Linked DNA regions of Alligator mississippiensis. The protein of the gene in region 2 purifies or fractionates together with the protein of the main gene of each other region. This does not show direct contact. Links are inferred from orthologs where the notes say so. Each region holds a gene or a part of one and is shown on either strand. Other genes may lie near its edges.

Evidence for each region.
Region 1: the proteins of CCNF (region 2) and TARDBP purify together in Homo sapiens (affinity purification with western blotting; 3 studies listed by BioGRID, with this or other methods). This does not show direct contact. The link is inferred for Alligator mississippiensis from reciprocal best matches to the Homo sapiens genes CCNF and TARDBP.
Region 3: the proteins of CCNF (region 2) and RBX1 purify together in Homo sapiens (affinity purification with western blotting, with the first as the bait; 4 studies listed by BioGRID). This does not show direct contact. The link is inferred for Alligator mississippiensis from reciprocal best matches to the Homo sapiens genes CCNF and RBX1.

What each region holds. Positions count from the first base shown.
Region 1 is NC_081836.1:11,855,445-11,863,656, reverse strand, and holds the start of TARDBP (TAR DNA-binding protein 43), read right to left. Parts: upstream 3,117-8,212; 5' UTR 3,007-3,116; exon of another isoform or gene 2,961-3,006; intron 2,398-2,960; 5' UTR 2,383-2,397; coding exon 2,145-2,382; intron 1,490-2,144; coding exon 1,326-1,489; intron 1-1,325. UniProt on the Homo sapiens protein: RNA-binding protein that is involved in various steps of RNA biogenesis and processing.
Region 2 is NC_081836.1:27,360,464-27,367,981, forward strand, and holds the start of CCNF (cyclin-F), read right to left. Parts: upstream 3,003-7,518; 5' UTR 2,909-3,002; coding exon 2,896-2,908; intron 1-2,895. UniProt on the Homo sapiens protein: Substrate recognition component of a SCF (SKP1-CUL1-F-box protein) E3 ubiquitin-protein ligase complex which mediates the ubiquitination and subsequent proteasomal degradation of target proteins.
Region 3 is NC_081827.1:97,703,439-97,711,174, forward strand, and holds the start of RBX1 (E3 ubiquitin-protein ligase RBX1), read right to left. Parts: upstream 3,117-7,736; 5' UTR 3,085-3,116; coding exon 3,007-3,084; intron 1-3,006. UniProt on the Homo sapiens protein: E3 ubiquitin ligase component of multiple cullin-RING-based E3 ubiquitin-protein ligase (CRLs) complexes which mediate the ubiquitination and subsequent proteasomal degradation of target proteins, including proteins involved in cell cycle progression, signal transduction, transcription and transcription-coupled nucleotide excision repair.

The DNA of each region.
Region 1 (8,212 bases), about 16 Mb from region 2:
ATTACCTACAATCCATGTTAGTTACTGGTCATTTTCTGATCAAAAAGAAATACTACTTGCTGAAAGAGTGCAATGTGAAGTTTTGATTACTTAGCTCAATATAGATAGCTTAGCGCTGGAAGGGACCTCGAAGATCAAGTCCAGCCTCCTGCCCCAGGGGCAGGAAGTCAGCTAGGGTCAAAGGACCCCAGCGAGATAAGCATCCAAGCAGTTCTTGAATACGTCCAGAGTAGGTGCCTGCACCACATCTAGACGGAGTCTATTCCAGGTCTTGGGGGCTCGGACAGTAAAGAAATGTTTTCTTACGTCCAGCCTAAAACGGTCTCGTAGGAGTTTATGACCGTTGGTCCTTGTTTTTCCTTGGGGTGCTCTGGTGAACAGACATTCTCCCAGATCCTGATGACCACCCCTTGTGTACTTATAGGTGGCCACCAGGTCCCCCCTGAGCCTGCGCTTTTCCAGACTGAAGAGTCCCATGGCTCTCAGCCTCTCTTCACAGGGCCTATTCTCTTGCCCTCTGATCATGCACATGGCTCTCCTCTGGACTTTCTCAAGCTTCTCGACATCCTTTTTGAATTGTGGAGCCCAGAATTGGATGCAGTATTCCAGCTGCGGCCTTATGCCATTCATTGCCTTATGAAATAATCCCTAGCACAGACAGGAATAAAGGCAGGGAAACCCCCCCCACCTACAGACATTATACCCATGAAATCAGAATGCGTAAGTTACCATTGCAAAAAACAACGGGGTTCAGTAGGGAATTGTTTTAATACCTCAGACAAAGCTAAACTTAACGCTCAGACAAGAACTATAAAACACAAGTCTTTAAAGTAACGAAGCTACTTAACAACAAACTAACATGCAGAAGCAAAACAAAACAGACTTTTTCTGGATCTCATGTGCACTACTCTAGACAAGAACAGAGCTGCAGAAAAGGGATTGTTCTATCTGAGCACGACAATGCAGCCAAGAAAAGCACAGCACACTGCAAATTAGATTTTATCACAATTACAGGAAACCCTCACTATTTGCAGATTCAGTTTCAAATATTCAAACCCATGCTCTCTCCCTTATAGCGTTATGGCAGCAGCAGCATCTGTGGAAGGTGTGTGCTTGCCACCACCAGGCTCCCGCCAGTGCACACCATTCACGAATGCAGATGTTCATGAACGTATTCGCAAATTTCCCCATTCACAGGGATCTCAAGAACATATCCCCCGCAAATGGTGAGGCTCTCCTGTACTAATATACTACTGACTCATTCAGAAAGTTTTGTAAGTGGGAGTCCATGGCACTCTCCTTGAGAAAGTATAGCAGAACTCTACCTGCACCATCAGAACTTCTCCAAAAGTGCTGAAATATTCCTTTAGATCCTGTTCAGTGGTTTTCCAAGGAAGGCCCAAAACTATCAAATCAGAAGTCTTCTGCACTGCTCGTTTCACTTTCACTGCTGATGACGCATCTGTTTCATCCATTTTTCTCTTGTTATCTGAAATTAAAACATGCATAAAAAATTATCCTCAAACTGTATCACCAGTCATAAGCAGCACAATACAAGGATCCTTTGTAAAAGAAAGCACCTGTTGTAGGAAATTTAAACTGTAAAAGGGACATATGGCATTTCTTGTCTACATGTTATAATTCAGACTGTTCCATAATCTCGGGGCAGGGGCAGAGAAGTTAAAGGCTTAAACCCTCAGTTATATCACAAGTTCAGCTACTTTCTACTGCAGAACTGCTCAATGATATTCACATGCCTGCCTGATATATGTAAGCGACAGATACCAGCTGAGACAAGACAGCTCAATCCAAACCAAAAAACATTCTCCTTAGTTCATTTTCTTTCCTTTTCATCTTCGTCTTGCCCTACCCTCTCCCAATAACAACGATGTCTGCCTCCAATCTTGGTATGACTGTCACGTGGCCAAACATCTGCCACCGCACAGAGATTATTATAGGACTGGGGGCTTTAGAAGTTCCCCAAAAGATTTGAAACCCTTTACAAACATGGGTACAATGTTTGGTTGTTCCAAGTACCTTTAGGGTTAAATATAACCCCACATGTCAGAGGACCTAAAAGAGCAACAATCACTCTGCAATGCAGCCACAACTGACAGGTAAGTTCAGGAACGCAGACAACAAACCTTTGGGATAATTAACGACATAGACTAGATTTCCCCAGCCAGCCTCTGGGGCATGCAGGATTCCTTCCACCAGCCGGACTCCCCTCATACACTGAGACACCGGGTTCCTGTAACGCAAGCCACACGCTCCTGGGAACTGGGCGGTGACCGTCGACAGCAAGACGGTGCCATCATCCTCCGAGGGGATCTCAATGGGCTCGTCATTCTCGTCTTCGGTGACTCGGATGTACTCAGACATCTTCGCTGGAGGATACTAATGGATTGAAAAAAAAAAAAAAAGACACACACAGAGGTAAGCAATTTCTACTTAGGGTAGCATTTACAGTCCTATTTGTTTCAACACGGTGCATTTTGCCGCAGGACATCCCAAATACTTATGTTCTAAGGCACTAGTAACAACCCCCATGTTCTTTGTCATGCTTCATGCACCACTGACGTTGTGCCGAGACCCGGGGAAGTGTGCAGTGGCCCCCAAAAGCATCCCTCCACCTCCCCCCAACTGCTCAGAGGGTCTGATGCCCGGGTGCCCTGCAGTACCCTGGGCTGTCACAGGTGCGGCCCGGGGGCCGAGCTGCAGGAGAGGTCACAACTCCGCAGCTGCGGGGGCGGGGCGGGGGAAGGAGGAGCAGGACGAGACCACTCGGGCGGGGGAGAACTGGAGGGGAGCAGGGACCGGACCATTCCAAGGCCGGGGGGGGGGGGGGGAAGGCGAGACCACGTGACCAGCTAGGTGCCCTTCCCCCCCCGCCGCCGCACTGGGCCCAGTTGCTAGGCCCCATCCCGGGCCGCTCGCGCTCCGCGAGTCTCGGGGCCTACCTGCCCCGGCCCGCGCGCAGGGACCGGCCCCCCGCGCCGTGCTCACCGGTGCGGGGCTTGAGCGGCGGGGTGGGTGTGGGGTGTAGGGTCCGCGCTGAGGGGCTGAAAGCGCCTCCTGCCGCTGCCGACAAAATGGCGGCGCGGGCGCTTCTCACTCGTGGGGCCCGGCCCCGGGCTGAACCATTCCCACCGAGGGGGCAAGCAGCACGCTGCAGAGCCCCGGGCCTGCGTGGGACGGGGTAACACAGGCCTCGCTCAAAACTTAAATGTTCCTCAGGCGGAACCGAGCCTTCCTAAGCAGCAGCGGGGCAAGCCCTCCCTCCCGCCGCCCCTACCACGGGGCACCAAGTGGTACGGCCCACTCCGCCGCCAACGCGCATGCGTAGGTTGGGGGGGTTGGCAGAGAAGGTGGGGGCGGGGCTTTGTCCGTGGCTCCGCAGGGGGCGTGGCCGCGCTGTTCCCGCGGGGAGGTGGCACCTCCCATTCAGTGCCTGCCTCCAAGGCAGCTGCGTGGACGTGGGGCTGCACGTGCCTGGGTCGGGCCGTGGCGGTGCCCCCTTGTTTTAAACCTGTGACTTTCCTGCATCCCTCTGGTGTCTTCATTTGTCCAGGGGGGTTTCCCCTCTCTTCCTCTTGCTTGCAGCCTCCAGCATTTAAGGTCTAGGGTAGGGGCGGACAATTATTTTGTGCGGAGGGTTTTGGCAAGCCATTGAGAACCATGTAAGAGGCAGCCGGGGACAGATAAATATAACATTTCTAAACTTTCAGGGGCTCCGTGGGCCGAATATAATGGCCTGGTGGGTTGCATGTGGCCCATGGGCCGCATTTTGCCCACCCTAGTCTAGGGACCTCTGATTCAGAGGCCCTGCCCCTTGCATCCCCACTCAGTAATAATTGCTTGGAGCAGCGACACCCGCAAACCCAAAAGTGCGCTTCTGCCAGCACCTCCGGTTTTGTGGCTGGCACTTCCAGGGGTGCATGGCCAATCTCGGGGTGCACATGCACCTGCATGCACTCCCTACGCATCACCAATGCCATGTTTGGTTAAAACTTGGCACCTACTCATTTCATTTTGTGACCCTTAGTTCTTGTATTGTGAGAGATGGTCAATAATAAATCCCTATTTGCTTTCTCTTTGCCATTTAGTGTATTGTAAACCCTTATCATGTCCTGCCTCAAGCATCTCCTTGTAAACCCTTATCATGTCCCACCTCAAGCATCTCCTTTGTAAGATGACTAGGCCTTGCCTTTTTACTCTCCTTGCATGGAAACCCCTCCATACTGTTATTATCCTGGTTGCCCTTCTCTAGTTCTTCTATGTTTTGGAGGCGCGAGAACCGGAACTGGGTACAGTATTCAAAATGTGGCCGCACCATGGATTTAAAAAGGAACATAATGATACTTTCTGTTTTGTTTATAATTCCGTTTTTAATCATTCCTAATGTTTTGTTTGCTTTTTGACAGCTGCCGAGCACTGAGCTGATGTTTTTAGCAAACTGCCCACGATCACTCCCACATCTCTTTCCTGTGTGGTAACAGCTCATGTGGAGCCCAGCATAGTGCAGGTATGGTTTGGGCTATTTTTGCCCAGATGCATCACTTCACACTTATCTACGTCGAATTGCACCTGCCAATTAGTTGCCCATTTGCTCAATAGTGTCAGATCCTTCTGTGGTTCCTCATGGTCTGCCTTGGTCTTTACCACTTTGAATGATTTTGTGTCATCTGCAAATTTGGCCACCTGCCTACTCACTTCCTTTTCCAAATCATTTATGAGTATATTAAACAGCACCGGTCCCAACACAAGATTCCTAGGGGATTCCAGTGTTTACTTCTTTGTGAAGTATGTGAAGACTGAAAGCTTTTTTAAAATAAAAAAAGCAATGTTTGTCAAGCGCACAGAAGCTTGGAGTCTTCCTACATGGGGTGGGCATTATTATGGGTAGACATCCACCTTTCCCAACCCAAAGCAATGGTAAAGTTGAAAATGTGTGTACATGATTTAAAGGTAGAACCATTGTGGGGCTGCCGTAATCACTCCCCAGAAGAGTATTTATTGTAACACTGGTGATTTTAATGCTAACATAGGGTAAGAAACAAGAGAGGCACTCAACAAGGGGAACTTGGTCTGTGCTCAGTTTCCCAAAGCCAGAAAAACAAATGGTGCCTTCTTGCAAAATACTGCTCAGTAGTGATGCAATGGACATATTAGTGTTGTGGCCCCAGATTCAAAGCAACTGACTCTTGATCACAAAGGTTTTTTCGTATCTTTTCCCCCTGGAGTCTCAACAGGGACTGTAACCACACAGAAAACTATCTGCTGCCTGTAGTGATGCTCTGAAGGAAAAAAACTAATGTGTATTTAACAAATATTTAAATGTAGCCTAGGATCACATATCCTGAAATGCTTCAGTAGTAACTGTGGCTATTTCATGAGCTTGTGATGACTGGATTAAGGATATTTAAGGGTCTTAACTGTGCATTCCTATATCTTAACATGTTTGTCCTGGTCATTGCAGGGGAATGTATTTGATGTTTAGGGTTTTGTTTTATTTTTTAATTAGCAACTCCTGCAAATATATGTTAGCTTAGCTACTGTTTGTTACGGGTAAAAACCCAATTTTCTGCAGGTCTTGTGAGATGTAGAAAATCTTTGAAAACACTGAGCTCAGCTAATTGAGTTCCTCAGTCTAGAAGAACTCTTCCTTCAGGGAATGACTAAGCTCCTGTGGATTCCTAAGGGAACATAACCAACATCCATCTAGCCTGGAGTTTGTTTACCACAGCCTGAGAAAGAAATCATGCATAATTGCAAAATCTAAATTCTAGATCATATCTGACCCAATAACACCCCTTTAATCCATGTTGACATACTGGCTGGTGACTGGAGCTGGGGACTTGAACCTGAAGCTCCTGGATTTTATTCCCATCTCTGATGCAAATTCACGGTATTGCTTTGGTAGTATTGTTTAGCTTGCCTTTTTGCCATTTCTTTAGTTTACCCACTTATAAAAGGGGGGTAATGCTATTTACATCCAACAAATATGTTGAGGCTTAACTCATAAATATCTGTGAAATCCTTTTGCAATCCACAACCAAGAAAGGAGCTAGAGAGCTGCAGAGTATTATAACTAAAAGATGGTTGTGTCATCTGTGTCCCGTCCCCCACCCCACAACCATACTAAGTGTCCTAGTCACTGCTCTATTTCTTAGGTTGCTACTGCCACATTCCAGCTGCCCTTATTCTCAGATTGCCTGGCTGCATCTGCCCTCTTCCCACAAGATACTTCTTCATTTTGTGATTTAATAGAAGAACATTTTTCCCTATGCGTTCTCTCTGACAAAGCTGGCAGGAGCTCAAATCATGTGAAAGGGAGGGAAGGGCGCATCAAAGGAGGCAAGACTAATGAGGCCTTTTGCTGGGAACAGGAAGAAGAACAAAGTGAATAAACTTATGCAGCTTGCAGAAGGTAACAGGCTTCTTTGACTGTTACAAAAAGTTTTTAGGATTGGGGGAGTTTTTTGGATTGATGCAGTGCAGATAACTGTGCAAAACTGAGTTGAAGTGTCAGTTCATGTGACAAATGTCTTAATGACAGGCTGTGCTTTGTGTGGTAAGACAGCAGCTCATATTTGGGGCTGAGCCTCTCCAGAGAGCCAAAGCTGCTCTCACAGCCCCTGTCTAATGTCCATTTCCATATGTCATTTCATTGCAGTCCAGGGAAAGAAGATCCTACACATTAGATTGACAGCATACTTAAACCGTCACAATTCTTACATGAAGGTTGGCAGATTGGGGTCTGGTGTTGATAAATGCGCTGTGCAAAGGTGTGTTCATAAAATAAGAATTGGTTTCCATATACCACCTTTCATTCTGAAGGTGAGTGTGATTAGTTACTGGTAGTGCGGCAACTGCACAGGTCAAACGGGCTGTTCTCATGTCCTCCAAAACAGCTCTCACACAAATCTCAACTAGATTAGATACTATTTCATAAGAAAGGAAATGTTGAGCATAGCCCTCTCTTGATATATCAACTCCTGAGAGATCTTCAGTTGCCTCCAGTGCTTAGAAAGGATGAGAGTGGGACAGTCTTCCAGTTAATAAACAGTTCTTTTTCCCTGACTTGGCCAAAACTCGTTTGTAGGCAGACTGGAAAGGAAGCAAAATCAGTTAATAGTTCTGGTATTATCCTTCCACAGCTAGTGTTTACTGGGAGGTGGCTTGTCTTGATTTTTTTCCCTTTCTTTACGCTTTTTCTTCCTTCATTTAAAAATTACAGACCAGCTCCAGATTCAAGGTGCATACTGAGTAGGTCTCCCTGGCAGTTTGCCTGACCCTTTCAATCCAGAGTTTTCCATGCAGCCATCGTAGAAAGGATTGCTGACTGCATTACAGTGTTGAGTTCCACCTCTCCCTTCTCCTTCCATTAGAAAATGCTGGATGTAAATGAACCACATGAAGGGGCAGAACAATGGCTGTCAAGAACACTACTGTTCCCACATGGCATGGCTCCATTAACGATAGCAATTTTCTGTTTTCCAGGGTATAGCCTTCTAGATACATTAAACTCTCACATTTTATACTTTGCAGTGATAATACTGTAAAACTATAAATTAATAGCCTTTCTACAGTTTTAATCAATCACACTTTATGTGTCTGGATAATTGCCATTCCACATTTCTGTACATTATTATAAAAATATCAGAATAAAATGATAAACTTATTCAGTCCATCAATCACAAAAGACAGCCACATTAGTTGCAAGTCACGTATGTCAGAGACATCTGTAATGCAATCCGTTTTCACTTCAAGATATATATGAACAGGACGTCATGTAAAGCAATCATTAGGAGGGCTGTAAAGGACTCCCTGTCACTGTGTTAACAGGACAAGTGGAAAGACAAGTCTGTAGGGCACCTTATCTATGTTACTCCACTTATGTAACCTAAACCAGAGGGTTGCACCCCCTGTCCTGGTGAGAACAATTCTGCTTCTACATTATTGTACTTGTGCTTCCCCACACTATTCCACCCATGCTATCCATGACCAAACCACAGAATGATTCATTTTCTAATTCCCATGAGCTTTGGGATTCCCAATATCATCCAATAATAAATCTAATTTCTAGAGAGAGGTCACCTTGCCTGGAGGGAGAGCTGAATTCAATCTCTTGGTCTGGTTTCCTTTTTAAGGTGCCACACATCCGTATGCCCCTTTAAATTCTCAGGGCAACAGGTGCACAGCATCTCTG
Region 2 (7,518 bases):
AAGCCCCCGATCTGCCTGCCAGATGAGGAGCCAGGTGCTGCTGCTTGGGAGTGGCGGCAGCAGCGATCTCCTCAGCACTGGTCTCAGGCAGCGCACCAATCTTCTCTCATCTGGCAGGCAGATCAGGGGCCACACCCCTGGGAGGTCTCCGGCACAGCCCCGGCAGCACTCTCAGGGGTGCAGGCGAGCCCACGATTTGCCTGCCTGCTGCATTTTATGTTTCCCCATAACCTATGGGCAAAACATCAAAACAGTGTTGAAACAGCAAAACACTTTTGACGAAACGAAACGGAACAGTGCTTTCGAAACAAAACTAAACGAAACTCGAAACGAAACACTGTTCCGCTGAATTGTCAAAATGGAAGTCGAATTGGAACGGTGCTGTTTTACACAGCCCTACTATGTAGAGCTGTAAGCAGCAGCCCAAGGGAAGGAACTGCCCGTTGGCACCAGAGACACTGGGTCAGCATCTGGAAAGGGGCCTTTTTTTCACCTGGCTTGAAGTGCTGAAACCACACACTTAAAAAAACAGAGTTTAAATTCTGCAAAGGGAGTCATCGGCCTCCTCACCAAGCAGTTTTTCTTCTTGCCAACATCAAGTGTAGCTTTAAAGTTCAGCTTATAGGGCATTTATACACGCATCTTTACCTGCTCCAACATGCCAGAAATCCAGTGTGTCCGAGAAGACTCAGTTAATCAAGTCTGTGGAGCACACAATCTGATGTGCCCGGCGTTACATCGCCTACATTTGTATAAAGGGTGAAATGCGCATCAGTGCTAAGAAAATGGCGGCGGTGCACTTTTGAACTAAAACACCTTCGATTCATTTTAGTTCAAAAGTGCACTGCTGCCATTTTCTCAGCGCTGATGCACTTTTCATCATTTATACAAATGCATGCGATGCAGCACCAGGCACTTTTAAAAAGCACCTGACACTCTTGTTCCATGTATGTGTACAAATGCCTATAGATCTTATCCAATGAGATTCTGAATTTATTCAGAAAGTCTGATCAGCTGGGTTTTCCCCAGACTTTTCAGGAAGATTTAAGGAACAACCCCTTTGCAAGGATTTCATCATTTATTTGTAGGGCCACAGGGACTGATTTAGCTGAGGATGTGACAGAATGAAGAAACCCATTACTGTATAAGGCACTGGCTACCAACTTCTCTGAAAAAATTCTCCACCCCCATTTTTCACTATTTCAAAGAGGTGAAGGTTTGGGGGTTTTTTTTTAATGTTGTACTACTAGAAGGAGAGATTTTCTGTAGATTGCCTTCCTGGCCTGCTCTGTTTTCCATTCTCACTGTCACATTGTAACAGACCAGCATACAGAGAACCCTACAGCCAAGTGCTTCTCTGGTTCCCACCATGGAAAACACTGGGTGGCATAATTTAGGAGGGCAGAACCAAGATAGCTAGAGGGAAAAAGTCTGATTGGCTGCTTTTGAGCTTCCTCCCTAGGACCAGTGACACTGACGCAGGTTCAGAATTGCCTCACTGATTGGGAAATACCCAGCTGGAGGAACTATATTGCCCACTACAAGTTATAGGTATTTTTGCAAAGTAAAGTGGCCACATCCTATGCACCAGAATAGAACATCTTTTTATACCAAAAATGAATGCATCCCACTAATTCTTTTGAGATCAATGGCCACTGTTTCAGTGGGAGCCCCTTGCTATGTCAGTTACCTTTGAATAAAGATTATAGCTATGTGATAAGGGGCAATTCTGACATTGCCACTATCTGGCAGGTGTTCCTCTTCTCTTCTAGAATGAGATCTACTGTAAAGTAATAAGGCAACGCAATCTAGACTGATGTGTCAATGATGCCTTTAGTCAGATTTGAAGCCTGACTCATCAGCTCAGAGAACTGAAGCTGACAACACGGCTCCCCCGGCCAAGAACATTTAAGAGGAAGACTACCAAAAATTGCCACATGAGCTATAAACAAGCATGTTTGCACTGTGTGCACAGATTGTATCACCAATATATTCCAAGCAAGTCCTGATTAAATAGGCAAATGTACTATAAGTTCCTTCAGTTACTGAAGGCAATATGTTGTAGAAAGAGATCTAGCACTGCCTGCATGCCTGCAGCAAGAAACAAAATACATTAATCTCAGGCGTTTTTAAATATTCCTGTCCCATTTATGCAGAAAGAACAATTAAAAAATAATAATTTGTTAAAGTAACCTGGTTTCAGGAAAATATTCTTAGAAAACAAACACACAAATATAAGATGTAGGTGTAAGTGATTCACCTGTATGTATAAAACAGTTATTACATAATCATTAATTAGATGCTCTTCCACAGGTGACTAATAAGTAATTTACTTTGGAAGAGACTGTGTCTGCTCTGCACCTGAGGAGTCAGAAACACTTTTGCGAGGCAGGGGGGGCCGCCTCTCCCTTTGGAGGGAAGAGACTTGACGGCACAAGACAGGAGGTTGCTGCCCCCCCCCCCGCCATGAACGGAAGAGGAGCAGCCCAGCGCGGGCATCGCGGCCCGGCAGACGCTCCCCGGCCGCAGGCTCCCGCCGCCCGTGCTGGCCGGTCACGGCGGGCTCACACCTCGGACTTCGCTCTGGCATTTTATGGTCGCGGCACCCCGCGTCGACCCGCTGCGCCCCCCGGCGGAGGTGCCCGAGGTGCCCCCTGGCGGACCGGCCCCGGCCCCGGCCCCGGCCCCGGCCCGCGCAGTCCCTGCGGATTTTTAAATCCACCCGCCCAAAGCAGCGCCGCTCCCGGGCTCCAGCCAACCAGGGCCGGGCCGGGCCGGGCCAGGGCTCCCCGCGGCGGCCCCTGTCCGGGCCGGAGCCAGCTCCTGGGGCAGACGCACCCGACCGCCCGGGCCCCTCGCAGCGAGCCCGGCCAGGGCCCCGCGTCCCGCTCTCACCGTCCGCTCTCATGCCTGCCCCGCGCCGAGCGCCCCGCGACCCGAGTGGGCAGCAGCCGGTGCAGACTGAGCAGGCGGCCGGAGCCGAGGGCGGAGACCGGCCAGGGGCGGGGCCAGACCGGGCCACGCCCCCAGCACCGGGCCACGCCCCTCAGCCCCAGCTCGGGTCGGGCAGAGAGCGAGGCGAGCTCCGCCCAGGCCCCGACCCGGCCCCTGCTCCGCCGCCAGAACCCCGCCCCCTCCGCTTGCAGAGCGGCCCAAGCCACGCCCATCCACCGCGCGCACTTTTTTTCAAACCCAGCAGCCGTCCTGATTGGCTGCAAGGCCGGCGGGGCAGGCGGAGCGGCCTCGGCTCCGCCTCCTCCCCTCTGTCATTGGGCGCTCAGGATGCGAATTCGAATTGGGGCGGTTAGCGGCGCGCGCCGCTCGCGGGCTCTGGGGCCGAGGGGAGGCGCATGCGAAATGGCCCCGTCCTCCCCTGGGGGTGTGGGAGCGGGGTGAGCGCGGCCTGGCGAGGCTGTCTCGGGCCTTTCGTGCATCCTCTGTGCTGTCTATGGAAGGGCTCGGGCGCCTCATGGGGGGCCCTTGCAGGCAGAGCTGGGTGCGGAGGCGCTCGGAACTCGCAGGCCCCTGTCGCTCCGGCCACCTCAAGCTGCAGAGCACGAGTGGCCGCAGCCCTGCCAGTGCCCCACGCCCCCCGTGTGAGGCACATGCCCCGATTTGTGGGCACGGGCAGGAGCTGCCGCCACAGCCCAGCGCCTGGGACCCAGCGTGGGAGGGCGGAGCAGGGCGACAAGACTCGCGGCTGCCGCCACCACCACAGGGCCCCCGCGCCGCCAGCAGTGCTGGGCTCTGCTCCACCACCATGGCCTGGCTGCTGCCGCCGTCGCCACCACTGCCCTCCTGCCTCCTGCACTGCCTGCCGCCCACCGCCTCCAGGGTAGGGCCGCGGCCTGCAGGGGGCGGCAGCACTGGCTGCGCCATGCAACAGGGTAGAGGTGGGGGCAGCACAGCCCCCACCCATTACTCCTCATGCTGCTGGTGGCACGACTGGCGCTGGGGTCCTGGTGGCAGCAGCAACAAGCCTCGCTCCGCTCTCCTGCGTGCTGCGTCGCACGTCTGTGCTGGTCTGGTCTGGCCAGGCCAGGCTGCAGCCCCGTGCCTGCTGCGGATGCCCAAATCTGGGGGGACACATTGCCCCCCATAGACTTACCTGTGGGGAACTACAGGAGCTGCTTTCCAAGCTGCCTGGCTGCCACATGCATGTGTTGCCCCTTGCAAGCCGGCAGCTTGCAGGCTAACACTTTTCCACATTTTTCTCCTTTAAAGGAAAAAAACACGATTTTCCACATTTTTATGAGATTGTTTGAGACCTTTCATATATTTTTGGGCTGCACCCCATGGGTTGAAAAATGCTGCTCTAGACCATCCTATGTTTTCATCCCCCCCTCCCTCTGGCTCGGCAGGTATGCACAGCTGGAAAAGGGGTTAAGAGGAGGTGCTGGGAACTAGTGACTTCCGTGCCAAGTGGCACCAGCCTTCACCTCTAGTATTAGGGACCTCCGAATAGAGCTTCGATGTCAACAGCGTATGGGGAAAAGTTGCTTAAGATTTTAGACTGGGAGGCAGAAGGGGAAAGATAATAGCTGAAGAAGTCCAGGGAAACAGAAAGAAAAAGAACCAAAGTCTATAGCAGAAGAGTTAAAAAGTAATGTCTTCAGGATTAGGGAAAGGAGGACAAAGCACATGGGATGTTGGGAAAGGAAAGAAAAGGACAAATGAAACAGCCTTAGGAGGAAGTAACAGAGGTGCTCAGGAGAGAGAGAGAGAATGAAGATGCATCTTGAGGAAAATGGATAGGAGAGCAAGTCTGCTTCTGCAGAAGGGGCTGTACTTGTCATCCCTTGAAGATATTAGTGGGTTTTTAACAAGTTTGTGCACAAAGAAGACAACAGAAAGAAAAGCTCTTTGCAGGGTAGAGTAGTTCTCTGGAGACCATAAGCTGAGAGAGACTTTTCTTGTCCTTAGGTATGAGGACATAGCTCATACTGGTTGATACTCTCTTCTTGCTAGTATGTTAAATGATAGTAGGGTTTTCCATATCCTTGTGTGTGTGTTTACAGTATTGCTGCTGCTTTTATGTTTCTTATTTACTAGGTGGTCTAAGACAGTAGGAGATGATTATAGTAAAGGAGAGACAATATTTATATGAGCTCATGAAAATTAGCTAGGGAAACTTGGAAAGTAATAATAAAGGCATTTGCTTTGTACATTGTACACTTAATCTCAGGTGTTCCAAAATCTAACAAAAGAAATGTGTGCTCAATGTTTTTTTGTGGTTTTTTTTTTTTATTCTAGTACCCTGCTCTGTCCTCATATCCATCCCCACCAGAGGGGGTCACAACACCTAAGCCAGTCATGCACCCATTCTCTGAAGGGGATTATGTCCCAGTACAGCTGTTTCTGTCCATTTTATATAATATAAAGCTATATAAGCTATAATATCCCAGCACTTTTGTCTTTTCATATAAAATTAAACCAAAACATTCAATATGTAGCAATATTTTGTGTTTTTTAATTTCAAGGTGAACAAAGTAAATCTCAAAGCCACTTTCTTCTAACTCCTATCACTTAAAAATTATTTGTGTTTGCTCCTAAACTGAAAGGTGCATAGTAATGACTACACTTCTGCCTCTGCAACGGAATGGTGACTTCTGCTTACTCAAGAGAATTGTCAAAGCACATCTGGGTCTCTTATGCACAGGACAGCCAGTCACACAAGTCCTGCAATGTGAAAAGGGATTGTAAAAAGCTTTCATGCAGGTACAAGTTGTCTAATTAGCAAATTCTTTTTTTATTAATTATTCTGATGCTAGTAAAAAGTTGTAGATTGATAACTAGGATCTCTTATTTCCAAAGCTGGAGGGATCAAATATCCTACATTGCCTTTTCAGTGCATCTCAGCTGCAACTTTCCGATTAGGGAGGGGTTCCCCTCCCCCGCAACAGCCCAGCAGGGAGTTGATAACACAGTGTTTATCACCCCTCAGTGTTTATTAATAACAGCCTCTCATTAGTTCAAGCTCTTCTTAAACAACTTTTTCCAAGGAGGGACATTACCAGCTACCTGTTGATTAGCTCCCAAAAGCCCTAAGCTGACACTGTGCTGTCTGCCTTTGTCCTGTCTCCTGCAGCACAGACCATAGCCAGCATGTGGTATGCTAGCTAATGCTGAGAGGTGTCCGCATAAGACAGAGGGGAGGGGGGATCCCTGCTTGAGCAGGGGGTGAGGGGGAAGGGGAGAGCACGAGGGAGCAAGGCAGACCCCACTGTACCTGCAGTCTTTGCCAGAGCTGCAGCCAGGGAGCACAGGGGAGGAGCTAGCCTAGCTCTCTGGAGCAGAGAGCCCCACCCAGCCAAGTAAGCATGCCTGGATGCTAGGGGATTCTGATTTACCTTAAACCAGGATGGGGTCTGGGACAGATATTGCATAGACCAGTTTGGCCCAAATCAGTTAAGTCTGATACTACATTCAGCCAGATTTATCTCAAACCAGTTTCAGCCATTTTCAAACTGGTTAATGTGCACTGAACATCTCTTCTGTTACAGGTTTAAACCAGTTTCTGATCACTTAAACTGGTTTATCTGTAATGTCTGTCCCAGGGGTTGGAGGTCCTGCTCATCTTAACTAGGAACCTGGACTAGTGATGCTCAATCAGGGTGCCACGGCATCCTTTTAGGAGTGCTCTGTGGGGGCCCATGCAATTTTAGTATTGTTAGGATTCAAAAAATAAACCCAGAAGTTTCAAAAGGGAATTCATAGTGTCAAAACCATTCTGACCTGTTGTGGTCTGAAATCTTTTCAACAGAAGAATTGTTGATACTAGTTGAGAAGCTATTGTTACAGAGTTGAGAAATAAGTGAAAGCTAAGAGCTGGCATTTTTTGAGGGGTGCTTGAATCTAAAATAGTTGAGAAACACTAAAGCTAGACTGAGACTGCGAAATTCACCAACCGTCAGATAATAAATATATGCATTGCTTGCTTTTCTCTGAGGAACTCGGATACCGTGTCATTAATATTTTTCTCTCACAGATAGTGAAACTGAGATAGAGTAGCTAGATAACTTGTCTAAGGTCACACAGGAAGTCTGTGGCAGTGTTGAGACTAAGACTGAGGTTTGCAACCCTTCACTTCCTTGCTATCACCATTAGACTAAGGAGTCCCCAAACTTTTAAAGTGCAAATTTTAAGAGATTGTCATGGGGGTATTCTATGTTATCTCAATTTTGATCACACAAATTTGCTTCCCCTGTCACTTGTGGCTACATAATGTCTCTGTAGCACATAGAACAATTACTCATGTGAAAAAGTAATATTGGGAATGTTGTCCATGTTAATTTTAGCTTCTTTTCATGAGAAATGTTGTCCCTTTTGAAAAAAGTTGATCACGCTAGCTGCTTTTACTCTTCATCTCCCCCCTCACATCTGTTCTGTTTTTATAAATCATTTCAGCCAGAAACATGTGAACAGCTAGCTCCCTGAAGACTACCAGTTGTTCTCTGGCCCACTAGTGGCGCATACTGGTTTGGAGATTGCTATATTAGACCACGCTTCTAAATGTGG
Region 3 (7,736 bases), on a different chromosome or scaffold from region 2:
CCTAGCACTGGAGACATGAAAGAGATCACATTGACAAAAGTGACAGTTACCACCATAAGCAGTAATGCAGTAACCTTTTACCAATGAGCAATCACTCTCCTAAGTAGAGGCAACCAACTACTGGGAACAGCCCTTACATTACTCTACAGTGATTCCCAAATGTCCTCCTTCAAAACACCATAGGTTACTTAGACACCTGCTTATAGACACTCACAGAAAGAAAAAAATAATTGGGAATCCTCAGCTCCAACTTTAAGCCATTAAAAAGAAAAACCTCACTCACCTCCATAGCTACAAAGGCCTATAAGAGGAGGGCCTGCTATGAATTCAAGGGGACAGCATGTGAAAATTAACCCAAGATAAAAGAATCATAGCCAAATAAAACAGAAGAGGGGCTGTAAGAACTGGAACTGTTTAGTCTGGAGAAGACAATTTGGTAAGTCTTCAAAGAAAAAAAAGGGTTGGTATAGGGTGGGCAAAATGTGGCCTGTGGGCCAGATGCAACCTGCCAGGCTGTTCTATCCGGCCCGTGGGGCCCATAAAAAATTTAGAAAATTAATATTAATCTGCCCTGGGCTGCCTGTCATGTGATCCTCAGTGGCTTGCCAAAACTGAGTAAGCAGCCTTCTGCCCAAAATAATTGCCCGCCCCTGGTATAGAGACAGTGGTGGGCAGCTATTTTTCAATATGGGATAGGACAAGAAACACTGATCTTAAACTGTAAGAGAAATTTAGATTGGATGTTAGGGAGAACTTTCTAGTTATAAGGGTGGTTAAGTACTGGAGCAGATTACCTAGGGAAACTGTGGAAATCTTTATCAGTGGAAGATTTTAAATGCAGTTTAGACAAACACCTAGCTGGGATGGTTCAGACAGGGATGATGACAGGGAACCTCAAGCAGGAGGTTAGGCTAGCTGCCCTTATGAGGTCCTTTCCAACCCTATTTTTCTAAGATACAGAAAACAGATATAACATAACATCCCTGATCTCTCCCTTCTCTCACTCCTTAAAATAGGAAGAAAAGTAGTTCTTCCATATTCTATCTTAGTATCAATAGTCACAACAGTTTAACATCACGTTGTAACTAGTATAACCTCTCACTTAAGGCTGTTTGTGTTAGCATTGATGTGAATATTTTGTTCCTCCCCTTTCTGGTACTCTGCTGTTCATTACAGCAGTGATTCTCGACTTTCTCAGACTCATTTCCCTTTGGAAAATGCCATCTCTTAGTTTCTGCTCATTTTTGAGTACAGAAAAATAATAAAGCAATTCTTCTGCTGTGAAGAACATATCAGGATGTTTCTCACACTATGGATTCCTACTTGAAATCTCTGCATTTATCTAGCAAACCAGGTTTGCACAACTAACCATGCTAATATGAAGCAGCATGCCACAACACCCCTAAAAGGATCTCATGGCACCCCAGGGAGCCACACCACCATGGTTGAAAATTACTGCTCTACAGTATAGTTTCCTATGCTTGTCCAGTCCAGGTTTTCGTGGTGCTTCCATTTTAACCCTAGAAGATGACTCTATCAAGAGAAGCTACCACCGATAGTACCCAATATTTGGCCCACTATTAAAAAGAATAATCAAAATGATCTTTTCATCATTCAATTACGGCCTCTGTAGAACTATCCTGAAGGCTGGTAACCTACGGTCTGCAGAGGGGTTGAGTCCAGCTAAGGGCAACAGCAGCATTCAGCTGCACTGTGCCACCCATGCTCTCTGCAGCCCTCCCTATGGCTCTCTTGCACCCGTACTTACTCCCACCACACGGTTTGCCCATCCCACTGCCGTGGAGATAGGGATCGGAAGCTGAAGTAAACGTAAGCAACTTTGGTGCTTCTCAGGAACACAGATTTGCAGCCTGTGATGTAGGCAGCGTAGCAAACAGCAGCCCACAGCAGCAAAAGGTTGCACTATACCATTTCCACGGTGGGAGGACAACACCTGGACTACACGATACCCAGCTAGTTGCCCTTGTGAAGAATGCCAACACCATACCAGGCTGCATTAGCAGATCGAGGGAAGTGAGCCTTCCCCCCTATTTGGCACAAGTGAGGCCACATCTGGAGTACTGTGGCCAGTGTTGCACCCCCATTACAGAAATGATGTGGACAAACTGGAGAGAGTCCAGCAGAGGGCAATGAAAACCATTTGGGGGCTGGGGCATGTGACTTCTGAGGAGAGGCAGAGGGACTGCACTTGTTCAGTCTAGAGAAGAGACCAAGAGGGGACTTAGTAGCAGCTTTCAACCACTTGAAGAGAGTTCCAAAGAGGATGGAGCTGGACTGTTCTCAGTGGTGGCAGATGACAGAAGAAGGAGCAACTGTCTCAAGTTGCAACAAGGGAAGTTTGTTGGATATTAGGAAAACGCTCTCTCAGGGGGAGGGTAGTAAAGCACTGGAACAGGTTGCCCAGAGGAAGCGCAATCACTGTCCTTGGAGGTTCTTAAGCCCTGGCTAGACAAAGCCTTGGCCAAGATAAGACAGTTGGGGCTGGTCCTTCTCCAAGCAGGACGCTGGACTAGATGTGGCCTCCTTAGCTCCCTCCCAACCCTCGTTTTCTAGGGCTCGAGGCAGGCACCGGGGGCAGGGCGCGCCCGACAGTGACAGGCAGCTGCATGTGCGGAGGCGGACGGGGGCGGCACAGCACGGCAGCCTGGTTACCAAGGAGACAGAAGGGCCTGGGGGCTGCACCCCACCCCTACCAGCGGCCCCGCCCGCCAGCAGCAGCGCCACTCCGCCGCAGCACGCGCCGCCAGGACCCCGCGGGTGGGCCTCTCCAACTCCACGTGGGACGATCCCGCCTCGCCCATTGGCCCGGCGCTGCGCCAATCCGCCCGCAAGCCCCGCCCCAGCTGCTCCTGTGGAGCCGGAGCCGGAGCCGGGCCCGCGCGGAATAAGCGCCTTCCCACCCCCGCCCGCTGGCCCCTGCTGCAGTCAGGCAATCGGCCCCGCGGGTTCCGCCGTCCCGCCAGGCCGAGGCTGCCGTAGCTTCACCTTCTTCACTTCGAAGCGTTTCTTGCCGGCGCCGCTGTTAGTGCCGCTCGGGGTATCAACATCCATTGCCGCCGCCATTTTGAGTGCGTGACTTGGTGGCGCGCATGCGCGGCGTCACGGACGGGAAGTCACGTGGCCACGTCCCTGTTCTGCTCGCCCCGCCCCGCCCGTAAACAGGTGTATGGGGCAGGGCAGGCAGACCACGTGACTTAAAGGCGTTGGCCAGGGCGGAGCCCCATAGCCGGCGCCCCCTCCCCCCACCCAGCACGGGGGTTGCACAACCTGGGCCTGCACTTAAAGGCGCAGGCACCCAACTACCGCTGACGCAGCTCGTGGGCCTGTCCTGTCCCGCCCCCCCGCGCGGCTTGGTTCGCACGCGAGCGCCCCGGGGCGCAGCGCGGGCTGTTCCCTCGGAGCAGCAGCGGCTTCTCGTTGCTGCGGGCCAGCGAAGCTCCGCGCCCCCGCTGCCAGCACCGGTCTGGGCGTAGCCTCACACAAGCAGCCGCGGGTGCTACAGCGGCTCTCAGGCCTGGTAGCCTCAGGCCGGGCTTCAAGGCAGCCCCGTATGAAGCGGCAGCTCGGGGCGTTCACTCGCGGTTGTTTTTTTTACCCCGGCCAAAAAAAGGCAACAAATAGAACAAGCCGCCCCCAGGGCCGCCTGTCCTGCGCAGAACACCGGGCTCCCCGAGCCGCCCGCGGCGCTCTGCGGCCCTGCTTGAAGCGGCGGGGCGGGCGGGAGCCCTGGCGCCACTCTGCCCCGCCCCGCCCTTGATTCCTGCTCCCCCAGAGGTCACAGCCAAGCGCAGGGGCCGCTGCGGGCAGGCCGCGCTGAGGGACGATCTTGCCTCGGGCAGGGGTTGGGCTCTAAGACCTGTGGAGGCCCCACCCCGCCCCGCTCCTCTATGACACAGGCCGCAGTGTCTTGTTGGGTGGTGCCAAAAGCACCCGCAACCCTGACTGGAAAGATGCCGGCTGCCAGGGGCAGACAGTAGAGGAGCTGCGGGGGACCCGATCCCTGTTACGGCAACACAGACCAGCCCCTGCCCATCGGCCTCTCCGCCTGCCGAGCAAAATGCCTTCATGTGCCCCGCTGTCACCCGTGCTGCGGGTTGCCCACCCCTGCCAGGGCCCTGATCCCTTGTGACCTCTCCGTTCCCCCCTGCCGATCCCCTGCTGTCCTGGCTCCACTGCTCCAGCTCTCCTTCCTCCTGGGCCTCCCCCCTGCTCCCCGTCGGGCAGCACCTGTTCTGCAGCCCTGCAGCCTGTTTTACCTCTAGCTAGAAACGCTAACTTGGGCGTGGACATATTAACTAGCATGAACATTAGGCTTAGGCATAGACGTGGCTTTCAGTGCAGCCTGGGAGGCACTGTCCAGGTGCTCAGGAAGGCTTGATTTTGCTTCATGAGTCTGAAGAGAGAGGCACACCTTTAATGACTCCAGGACTAACAAGACAACATATTTGGATTATTTTTTGCCCAGTTTGTTGGGGTTTTACCCATAATATAGGATATAGAAAACACACATTCCAATGAAGTTTTTTTTTCTTCAGTCTTGAATAATATAGCAGTAGGCCCCTACTTATTAATGAAGCTCCTAGTTTCTTTTTTAACTGGAGAAAAACATGTTGTTTCATATGTGATGGCGATGCGGACCCACACCATCTGTATCTCCCTTTTCAAAATTCTAGCTCTGTCCATAGACACCCTTGAAAGCATCTCGGCAGCATGGCACCTAGCTGAGAATCACCAGTGTAGGCACGTCCTGAGTGGCAACGTCAAGAACACTTTGACTTGGGGAATGCAACTTAGGGGTTCTCTGATCTTTATGTAGAACAGTGGTGCCGGATCTGGTCCCACAGGCCAGATGAGTGGTGCAGGGGTCAGTCCACAGGTCAACTCCCACGCAGGAAGCAACACATGGAGTCAGTCTGCAGGTGTAATCCTCCATGGCATAATCTTCCACCTGGGGCACAAGTTTCCAAACACTTCGCAGCTCTGCTCTGGCACTTACATATGCTCCTGCTGAGTACTATGCACCAGTATGGGGCCAGAGCATGCACACTAAGTTACTGGATTCCAGCCTTCACAGCGCATGAGGACCATTACCAACAAGGGCCTTATGCCAACTCCAGGTGACTGCTTACCAACCCTCTCGGGTTGGTCTAATAAAAGATATCAAATTCACCCAAGGAACCTTGTCTACCAACCCTCTCAAGCATTCCCTCCCCTAACATCTGGAGGCAAGCTGCTACCCTGGTTCTAGGCCTCAAAGCCCAAGATCTAGGCCACTCTGCACTCCAGCCCAGTAGCTGCAAGCGAGAAAACCAACTACTACCTGAAGCCTTGGAACTGGTTCTCCACTCAGTCCAATAAGATCATTGAATCTGCAGATGGCATGTCACCTACAGAATGGACCTCCTATCAGTGGAGTAGGCAATATGCTGCACATGAACGCTGTGTGCTCCCTGAGGCTGGTGGGGCACGGCAACTGCCTGCAGGCAGTGTCAGCGGCACGGTGTCGGGGAGCAGAAAACTCCTGCAGGCAGCTGTGGTGGTGCTGGCAGTGAAGGCAGGCCAAATGGGAAGCTCCCACAGGCAGCCACAGCGGTGTCAGCGACAAGGGTGGTGGGGTGGTGAGTGGTAATTGCCCGCAGGCACTGTTGGCAGTGTCAGCAGTGCTTTTCGCTTGGGGTGCACCACCAATCTTAGGAAGTGCACGTGCACACATGTGTACCACCTATGCATCGCCAATGATGCTGCACAAAAACTGAAGCTAAAGAACTTCATCCCCAATACCAGCTTCTACCCCTCAGGATGGCGGCTGCCCCACAGGGCCTGAACTGCTCTTAACCATCTCAGAAGGGGCACTGGACAGTTTAAGGCGAGCATGCACTCTTGGGGCCTCTCCAACAAGGCTAGCTGCAGCTGTGGGGCTCAAGCTCAGATAGCCAACAACACCATCTATGAATGCCCTTATGGCCCTCCTTCGGGTGCCCACGGTCTTACTGACATTGACCACTCTACCTGCTTCTAGCTTTCTGGTCCCCATGCTTCTGACATATGAGTGTGGTGACACTTGCTTCATCAGCAGCAGCATCGTCATTATCCTCCATAATGGCTCAACCCACACACCAGATCTGCCCACATGCCAACCCAATCATGCTAGACCTGGCTGCAGAGTGATCCTGCATACTGATCTGACCACATGCTGGCACAATCTGGTACACAGGTTTGCATTACCCAGCCTGTGGGGCTCCCCATGGTACTAGACATTTGTCAGTAGGAAGCAGCAATTAACATTGCCACTGCTCCACCACTGCTAAATTTCCAGACCTATGGGAAGCCTCACGGGCCAGATGACATGGCTCTGCAGGCCAAATCTGGCCTGTGGGCCAGAGGTTGAGAAACACTGATATAGGGTGTCTTTGGCCTAGGTCCAGGTACGTAGGCAGCTACTATAACTGGCAGAGTTAGGCCTGGTGCTGAAATAGTAACTGAGAATTTTCTTTTTTATATTTCAAATTCTCAAAATGTAATCACATATGGAATAAAAAGGTCCTTTTTAATTACCTAATTGTAGATAATGTTCACTTTGGCCCAAAGACTCAATATGAGAAATACCAAAACCAAAAGACTTAGTGTGTTTAATAAAAAGTTGAGATCTTTAATCAGGAGCACAAGCCACATCTCTTAAGTCTGGTTTCATTTTATTGACTAGATCATACTGCCTTCCTGCACCTAACATTTCATCAGAGACCAGGCCTTTTGGTGAATCCACAGAGACTCTTCCTACAGTGACTTATTCCCTTCCAAACCTTTGATTCCATATAGATGCAAGGAGTAGGGTGCAGAAGCAGGGAGCTTTTATCTCTCTCATCTTGGGAAATATGTCAAATAAGTTCTTGACTTTGGAACAACGAAAACTTAGGCTATCACCTTTCCACAAAAAATCCAGTCAGGTTTTATTGGACACCCACTGCATATTACAATGTGGTGTTTGGAAGCGTTTAATCAGTTATAAGTTGTCGTGGAAACACACGCAGCATACTTTTGGGTCAGGTCAGCAGAAGCTTTTATTCAAAAGAAACTACAGCTGTAGGGGGAGTTCCAAAGTGACATGGATTTCCCAAGCACTTGGAAGGGGTCCCCCCCCCAGAGCAAAATCAGGAGGCTTATATACTTTTTAACAGTTGCTTACAACTCACGTGATCATATAGTGAAATTAGCATGAAAAGCGGCTATAATATTACTTCATTATTTTTTTGCTGTAATCAGGATGGGAACTAATGGGGGAGGCGAGATTAGTTCACAAACCTCCTTGCACCTGGAAATTAACTTTGTATATACTTTTCTTTTGTTACCTTCAAGGCCACGGTGAGCAAAGCAGTTGCAGAGGAGTTACAAAGAACAAACACTTGCCCTTATCTGTTCTACTGTACAGAGCCAGCAATTCTACACAAAGCGGTTATGTCATCTTATAACTAAAATAATCAAAGTTTAAGGCATATATTTTTTCTGATTCCACAAAGTGAACATCCAGTTAGAGGTAAATAATACAGGGACGGTAACGGTCACACTAAATGGGAGTTTTGCCATTGTTTTCAATATAACTAGTGTTCAAAAGCTACATTTTCTTCTGTTTAAAATTAAATGCATACGTATACTTTACAGAATCAGGGTCTAAGTCTACAGGTTATAAAAACTACCAAGATAAGTCATCATAATTGCAA